Solanum lycopersicum: one gene and its partner. The main gene of each other region encodes a partner of the protein of the gene in region 2 in a complex. Links are inferred from orthologs where the notes say so. Each region holds a gene or a part of one and is shown on either strand. Other genes may lie near its edges.

Region 1 (4,236 bases), on a different chromosome or scaffold from region 2:
TACATACATACATTCTTGAAACAGTTGAAAGAATCATCGATAAATGGACAAGAACTCGAATCATAAAGCACATAAAGATCATTGTATTCGACCCATTAACCATCAAACTCTAGTACGTAATAGTACTGGCAAACAGAATTTTTGAGTAAATGTACTTTAATATAAAATCTTATGTTACTGAGTTAAAAAGGTGAAGGTGACAACAGAATCATAATATATCAATGAGAGAAGATTCAAAATTAGCAAAATCGAACTAGAATTTACAGACCAGTGGATCTCCTAGGAAGCAGCAGCTACTGCTTCTGTTGTTTTCCCCTTCTCTTTGACTGCTTTCTTCCAGTTCTCTGCACTATCGATGATTTCCCCAGTTTTAATGAGGTACCGGACTCTTTTTCCATTGTCTAAAGTTTTGTGACCAACCCGACTGGCTACCTTCTGCTCTTTTGAATAAAGCATCACGTTTGAGCTGTGAATAGGAGCTTCAATCTGAAACAATAACAACAACTACGTCTCAATCCAAACAACTTGGGGAAGTTCAATCTAAAATCTTAACACAAAGTTTTACTTTCTTGTTAGGGCAAAGATGAATTCGATGCTAGCCACGACGAAATGAAATCTCAAGATAACAATTTTTAGGCAAGATAGAGAAGAAAGAAATCGAGATAAAACCTTGACTATCTGGCCTGGTTCCTCCTCACTCCGACTCTTCACATGCTTGGTTTTCAAGTTCACCTCTTTTACTACTATTTTGCTGTTGTGCTTGATGATCTCGGTAATCTCTCCAATTTTACCTTTGTCATGGCCGGAGATTACCTTTACAGTATCACCCAGCCTTACATGCATTTTGTGTAGTACTGGAAGGCTGTTTGGCTTACATTCTTTACGCTCCCATCGCTTAAGCTGCAAAATAGACATAAAAAGAAGCTCTTATTCAATGATAAAGCTAATTCTAATCACAATTCTCATTAACTGTTGTTTCAGCTAAAAGAATATCATACCCATAAAAATTAGTACCAAAGGTTTAGCAATACAAACATTTGGTGGCCATTTTTAAAAGCTGTTGACAAGTTAGTTCGAGCACTTCCTTCATTACATCATAAGTTATAAAAGAAATGCATGACCACATTAACAGCAACCCTATAAAAGTAGTTGCCGGAAATGTCTATCTCGGACAATATACTAAAGGACCAAAATGGATCAAGATACCAACCTTTGCTGTAATCAAACATGGACCTTCTGCTGATTTAACCTGCACGGCATTATATGGAGATTGTCATTAAAGTGGCAAAAGATTATCCAGTTTTACAGTTGACACAATAAAAAGTGACAAACTGCGTAAGGCGTGATATACATCCAAAAAGTGTTAACCGAATAACAAGCAAGTGCATTTTCTGGAGACAGATCTTATTCCATATTTGCTTCCAATAACTTCTGATTATACAGGTAACTATAATATGAGAACGATTTATTATCGAGGAACACAGAGGCATATGTATAATATGGGTTCAGCAGCACCCAGTAGCTTTAACTCAGACCCTATATATGTATTAAAAAATTGATAAATATGTCCAAATATTAAAATTTCGAACCTTAAGTCAAATACAGGGTTCATCCTATGTTAGAACTTGGAAGACATCAATCACAACAGAGGGGGTAAGTTTAAGTTAACCAATTAGCATATTCTTAATATACTTGACTTTTTGAAGAACTTTTGAGGAACTACTGTATCAAATTGTAGATGTCTTTATATATAAAATTATTCTCTTGCAGCTAGAAATACACTGTGTTTGGTATGTAGTTCCAACTTTCCTGTGTTACGAAAATATTTTCTTTAGGAAAACAAGTTCAAGTTCAAAATAAAGAAAATGACTTCCGTAGTGGAAGTAAGAAAAACAAGATGGATAAGTAGCATTTCAAGTTATCATCACCCAATCCCTCCAACTCCCACTTCTTGACCATATCACGTCCGTCCATCCCCGAATCCCCACTCCCCATCCCATCTCGCCTCCATAGTATTTTGTTGGATATATAACATATAAATGCTCTTGGAATAATATTATCTAGCTTAGTTACCATATAAACACTAGAAAATTAGTAAGTTCCACATTTGTTTTCTAGGTAAACATTTTCCTTCGTACCAAACACGCAGTCAAAACTTATAATAGCGAAAAAACATATGATATGAGAAAGGACTCAGGTAGCAATGGTGACCAAGCAGAGAAAAAGTTCACAATATATTGTAATCAAATAATATAAAATTAATTTATAATCAATAGTACAATGGAAATGGATACCTTTGTTCCTATGATCCCTAATACATAGAAATCAAATTATTCAAACAAAGACCTTTCACAAAGACAATTGAAATTGAGATAAACAGATAGGATATAGCCTAGTGGTCAATGCAGTGGTGAACAACTACGATTTATTGGTTCAAATCACAATACACTAGTTTATTTCTTCGCATTTATGTAAGACTGGATGGAGAAAGTTACTTGCAACACAATTCAATTCTGGCTAGAGGTAGCAGGTATTCTACGTAATTAGTCGAGTTGTGAGCAAGCTGGACCGAATGATACAGTTGTAGAAACAAAACAATTAACATTTGAGATAGTTCAGTTTGAAAACCAGATAGTTGAAGTTATGAGAAAGCATACCAGAGGAAGGGAGAGAGGAGGAGAGAAGCGTTGGCCGAAGAAGGAGGTGGAGGAGATGGAGAGACCAGTAAAGGAGCTCTGCAGAGCCGCCATTGTTCAAAACCTTCTGCAAAATCCTTTTGTTGAAGGAAGAAACAACACTGAGCTGAGTATTTGGATAGGATAATAAAAACCAGAACCTTCGTCTTCTTCTCTCTCTATCCCTGGACACCCGATCCAACTTAATTGGACCTTCAACGGGTCGAGTACGGCCCAATTATAAAGTCCCTTTTCAGCTATTTCGGGATTGTGGATTAATTACGAAAATCTCACCTTTTAGTTTAATTATTATCATTATCCCTTATAAGTTTTACAAATTTCTAAAATTTCACAATTTTCATGCATCACATCAATTTCTATCGCGAATCATATTATTGTATCCCGCGCATCAGATTAGTGTATCATGTATAAAAATGTATCTCGCACATTAGATTAATGTATCTCGAGCATCATATAGTGTATCATGTATAAAATGTACCTCGCGCACCAGATTAGTATATCTCGCGCATCAGATTAGTGTATCATGTACCTCGCGCATCAGATTAGTGTATCATGTATAAAATGTACCTCGCGCATCAGATTAGTGTATCATATATAAAATGTACCTCACGCATCAGATTAGTGTATCTCATACATTAAATTATTGCATCTCGCGCATTAGATTAATGTATCAACGCTTGTATTATTGTATCCGTTTTGAAGATTTTTTGTAATTATAAATTTGTAAAGTATCAATTTGCCCTAATTTAAGAAGGGAAAAATGATCAAGTTTTAATGTTTTATAGGTTGACAAAACATATAAAAGACGAATTGAACAAATAAATATATTGAAAAAAAGTATCGGGGGATTAAAAAATAAAAAAAGCTTGGTTCTTTTTTAATAAAATTAGATTGAATAGGATACTAATGTAGAAGAAGTGGAAAAGCCTGATCTGGGATTTTCCCCGTTTTCTACCATTCATTAACCTTCCACGCAAATTTACAAAAACTTAGAACAAAATTGGGAACAAAGGCTATCATACACTCAGACTATAACATACCCCTAAGTATCCCAAACGAACTCACCAAGACAAAAGTGTGTTTTTGTAAATAAGAAACCTAACAACCTGACCAATTTTACAAGATGAAACAAAAAAATAAACAAATGGAAGAACTGAGTTAAACTTCATACGAGTCAGCTGTGCTATCTATAGATTCAACACGTCGATGTCCAGAGATTGGATTCCGATGATCTACTTGTTCAACATTGATGGTAATCTCCTCTGCTGTTGCAGATAAAGATCGCTTCTGGCGTTTTCTTTCGTGTCTAGACTTGAGTATCCTTGACAGAACCTGCACAGTGTCCCTCATGGAAGGCCGTTTCTTGGCAGCACGATTCACACATTTGTATGCAAGTGCTGCTACATCATTAAGTTCTTGCAGATCATACTTCCCATCAAGACGGGAATCTGCGATTTCCTCCCATCCGCCTTTTCCATCTGTAGTCATGGCTGCCTACAATCATCAATCCTATGGAGCTTAGTTTCTATATGACTGAATA
Region 2 (4,308 bases):
AGTCAAGCTAATATATTCTTCTGTTTGGCAGGATGGACGTATAGATTACGGCGAATTTGCAACAATGATGAAGAAGGGAAATACAGGATTTGCTGCTAGAACAATGAGAGGCAATTTGAATTTTAACTTGGCTGATGCACTTGGAGCAAGTGACAGTGAGAAAAAAGAATAGAAGGTTTCTACTTCTATAATATATCAAAAAATGCATATTATTAGGAAATGTATTATACCAACATTATATTTAGATTGTTTGGTATCTAACTCTCTAATTCTAGCATGATTGTTTACCAGACCAAGCTGATAGAATACGTTGGACCAACCAATAACCAGAGGAGTTCAAGGAGGCTTTCAACCGGACGAGAGGGGTCAAGTAGAGCTGTGTTTGCCAAGACAATGTTGGGCTATTACCAGCATATATTGGTGCTCTATTATTTTGTGATGGTAGATAGATTTAGTGCTATAGTAGCAAAATTTCAGTTGTTGCTACTCTCAGCAACAGCATGCCCAGTATCTTTCCACGAGCGAGATCTGGAGAGGGTGGGATGTAAACAAACGTTACTCCTACTTTTGCTACTTTATCTTATATAATTTGAGGGTTTTTCCTCTAGTTCATAAATTCTAAAATATTACAGTTGTTTGTACCTGAGAAGTGTTGTAAAAACCTTCTTTATGTCTATATTAATTTGATGTTACTGGAAATTGAGTACCTTTTAAGATCATTTTGTCATATATTAAACACTAAAATAAATTTCAGTCTTCTTTTATTTGTGTAATTTTTTTGATTTATTTTTTTTTCCTTCCAATTTTGCGGGCTTGATTTTTAACATAACAAATGGCATTACTTTTGTTCTTATTTTACTCTTCTTACCACGTATTTGTAATCTTACTTCTACGTTTTAAAGATAGAATAATTATTTTTTAAGAGCCTCAAATTAAATAAAACATATCAAAAATAGTACTAGCACTATGAAAATTAAATATAATGTATATGTAATTGCAAAAAGTAGATGGGAGGCTTTACATAACTAACCTCGAGTCAAAATTAAACAATGATGGCTTCAAGAGTAAATGACCTATTATATAATTTAGAATATTTGTTAATCTCTCCATTTCAAAAAGGATGGTCTAGCTTGCCTTGAAACAGAATTTAAGAAGAAAAAAAAATTTTTTAATCTTGTGATTCTAAATTAAAGTTATGTCAAATGTACCAAAATATCCTTTAATCTTGTGGTCTTAAACATGTCACGTGGAAAGTTCAAGTTAAAATATTATGAAAAAAGGAAATGAGTTTTTTGTTTTGAAACAGACTAAAAAAGGAAATAGAGACGTTCTTTTTGAAACGAAGGGAGTATTATGTTACGAGAATATGTAAATTTATACTATTTCTAATACAATTATTTTTAAAAAAATAAATAAAGGATTTCGGGGTAAAATAGTCATTTGGCTACCACTGCAGATAGGATAGGCTTCAACAGATAAAATTGAGAGAGAGACAGAGAATACCCAAAAAAAACCTCTCACTCTCTAACAATGGCAACCCTTTCCCTGTGTTCTACATCTTCCCCCTCAACAGCACTTTCCAAGAACCAAACTTTTCTTAACACCCTTTCTGTTCCCAAAGCAAATTCCAATGTTACTTTTCTATCTCACTCATTTTCCTCTCTCAATCTCCGTTTCTCCAAGCCCAATTCTTTATCCTCTTTTGTACCCAAATACTCAGAATCTGAAGCTCCAGTAGCTGAAGTTGAAGCTGACCAAGAAGAGCCTGTTGTGGAAGCCACTAGCTTGGAACCAAAACGGGAAGAAATCTTTGCTGTTGTTATGGTGACGACTCACTTCCATTCATGTTTAAATTTGTGTAGACATATCTGTTTGTTTTCAATTTCGAAATCAATGTGAGGGTACAATTTAGATTTTTATTGAAAAAATTATGAGGTCCCAAATGAAAATTTGAAAATTCAGCGGAAAATGTTTCAGTTGTCTGTTACCTTGAATTTTTTTCTCGAAGGAAATAGGAAATTGATCTATTCCCTCTAAGGGAATGTTACTTTGTTGTATAGAGATCACAACTTTGGTTCAAGATTGTCATGTGCTCAACCTTTGATATCACAAAAGCAGTCGGAATTTTAATAAGGGGAATTCAAAATTACTCAGACCTATTATTGAAGCAATTTCTCGAATTAACCTTTGCCACTAGAACGAAAACTTCCTTTATGTCAAACGGATTAGAAGTTCCAAAAATTTGTTTTCATGAAGAATGTTCCACCACACCTCACTCACTTAGTTCATATTTCGTGTTTGCTAGTACTGTTGATACATTACTGCTTCCTATGGTGTATGTGGTGAAAATAGGGAGTGTTACAATGAAATTCTTTCGTTCTGTTATTTATACGTCAATGCCATTCTGTGATGCTTAGGTTTAGCATTCTGTTTTAGGGTGTCTTAAAGGAACAATACACATGTCTATATGTTTGTGTCATATTGACTTGGCAGTGGTGGTGGCTATTGGAAATGTTAAAATAGTCCGTGCTAAATAAGCTGAACTGAACTTTTTATATGCTTAGTATTCTCCAGTAGAGTTGGCTGATGTTAACAGAAAACTATAATTATTATGAAGACATGACGAAGATTTAGTACTTGGTATATCCTTACCTGTGTTCTGGACACCATCCAATTTCAAAAATCTCAGTCTATGTTCTCTTTGGTTTTAGTTTAATTTCGTTTTACAAGTGGGCCATCTATTTTCGGTAGGCGTTTCCTCTAGTTAAGTTGCAAAGGGGTTCATATGGCAGATTAGAAGTAATATAACTAATAAATAACTGATAACTATCATTTAGTTCTAACTTTAGGTGTTATACAGTTGTCAGAGGGAATACATATCTACAAGTCCATGCAAACATTTAAGCAAAAGTCTAGTAATTGTTGAAATTTGATTTTGAGGTTGCCATATTCTACACTTTCATCTTTTATTTAATGTGAATTGTGAACTATTGTATTTAACCGGAGAAAACATTCATGTTTACTACTTATTTGATGAATATTTTTTCTTTTCCATGTGGAAAATACTCACTCTTGCGAGGAGATTATAGCTGCTATTTCAATCTGATCATTATTCCTGCTGCTAACAATTTTCAAGTCCTCTAGGTGTCAAATTTTGTGCTTTATTTTGTTCTTTTTTCTTTTTTTCAGATGAATGTGACACTACCCTAATATAACTCTATGGGGCTTGTCTTTAATACGTTAAGCTGTTTGTTCATTTTTGCTCTTTCGCTTTCATAGGTTGGATCTCGGCAATATATTGTTTTTCCTGGGCGGTATATCTACACCCAGAGGCTTAAAGGTGCAAATGTCAATGACAAAGTGAGCATTTTTGGTCTTAATTTACAATTGATTTCCCAAAATCTGGTTACCTCTCTGTGGCTTTGGCTTTAGTTACGTGAGTTGTTTTTCTTTTTCCTTGTCTCGCTATCTCATATCAACATTGTGGTGTCCAATCAAAAAGAACTTGCTTGCAGCAATTTCTCAATTATGTCAAAAGGCATCAATTTCAACCAATAGTGACATTTGCTTGTCCTATTTCTATTATCTTTAATACATTGTCTTCACCAGTTATTTTCCACGGAAGCTAACACTTGATATAAGGGTTATATGTGTATGTCAAGGTTTTCTTGCCATATTGGCAATACTCTTATTTCAAAATTTCCACAATGAGGATCATTGTTGAAGCATCTATACTTGTTGCTTCTGCAGATTATCCTAAACAAGGTGTTACTTGTGGGAACAAAAACAAGTACTTGGGTTGGAAAACCAGTGGTGCCAAATGCAACAGTCCACGCTGTTGTTGAAGAGCAGGTCAGACATCATTCTTCCTCTGCTGTAGTTTCCACTGAGTATATCTTGTTTACTTGACATATCTGTTGGCTCATTATTACATTTCCATGCAGTTGAAAGATAAGAAGGTTATCGTCTTCAAGTATAAGAAGAAAAAGAACTACAGAAGGAATATTGGTCACAGACAGGTATCAAAGAACTGTTTTTAGTGATATCTGAATAACTATAAAGTAGTTTGAACTTTTTTAACCTATCTGTTTGCCCTTAAAGCAAGGCGCACCGTAGTCTATCATAGTTTTAACTATGTCTGCAAATAATTACCATGCAAACATGAAAACTGTCTAAATCAGTGAGCTTACAGCCATGTATGAGACATGCCCCTTAAAATGATATTTGTGCAGAATATCATAACTTGCCCTTGCTTATGCCAAACTAATTCGGTTTCTGTAATCATGCAGCCAATTACTCGGATAAGAA

The links. The genes of interacting proteins can lie anywhere in the genome.
Region 1: large ribosomal subunit protein bL21c (region 2) and large ribosomal subunit protein uL24c share a complex: the UniProt entries of both Arabidopsis thaliana proteins name them as parts of the 50S ribosomal subunit. The link is inferred for Solanum lycopersicum from reciprocal best matches to the Arabidopsis thaliana genes RPL21C and RPL24.

Annotation. Positions count from the first base shown.
Region 1 is NC_090806.1:68,736,359-68,740,594, reverse strand, and holds large ribosomal subunit protein uL24c, read right to left. Parts: upstream 2,881-4,236; 5' UTR 2,751-2,880; coding exon 2,658-2,750; intron 1,250-2,657; coding exon 1,211-1,249; intron 901-1,210; coding exon 670-900; intron 487-669; coding exon 280-486; 3' UTR 139-279; downstream 1-138. Other genes in the region: calcium/calmodulin-regulated receptor-like kinase, read right to left, coding at 3,855-4,190. UniProt on the Arabidopsis thaliana protein: One of two assembly initiator proteins, it binds directly to the 5'-end of the 23S rRNA, where it nucleates assembly of the 50S subunit. Required for optimal plastid performance in terms of photosynthesis and growth.
Region 2 is NC_090805.1:43,261,484-43,265,791, forward strand, and holds the start of large ribosomal subunit protein bL21c, read left to right. Parts: upstream 1-1,407; 5' UTR 1,408-1,530; coding exon 1,531-1,824; intron 1,825-3,279; coding exon 3,280-3,360; intron 3,361-3,750; coding exon 3,751-3,852; intron 3,853-3,944; coding exon 3,945-4,019; intron 4,020-4,289; coding exon 4,290-4,308. Other genes in the region: calcium-dependent protein kinase 11, read left to right, coding at 32-172. UniProt on the Arabidopsis thaliana protein: This protein binds to 23S ribosomal RNA in the presence of protein L20.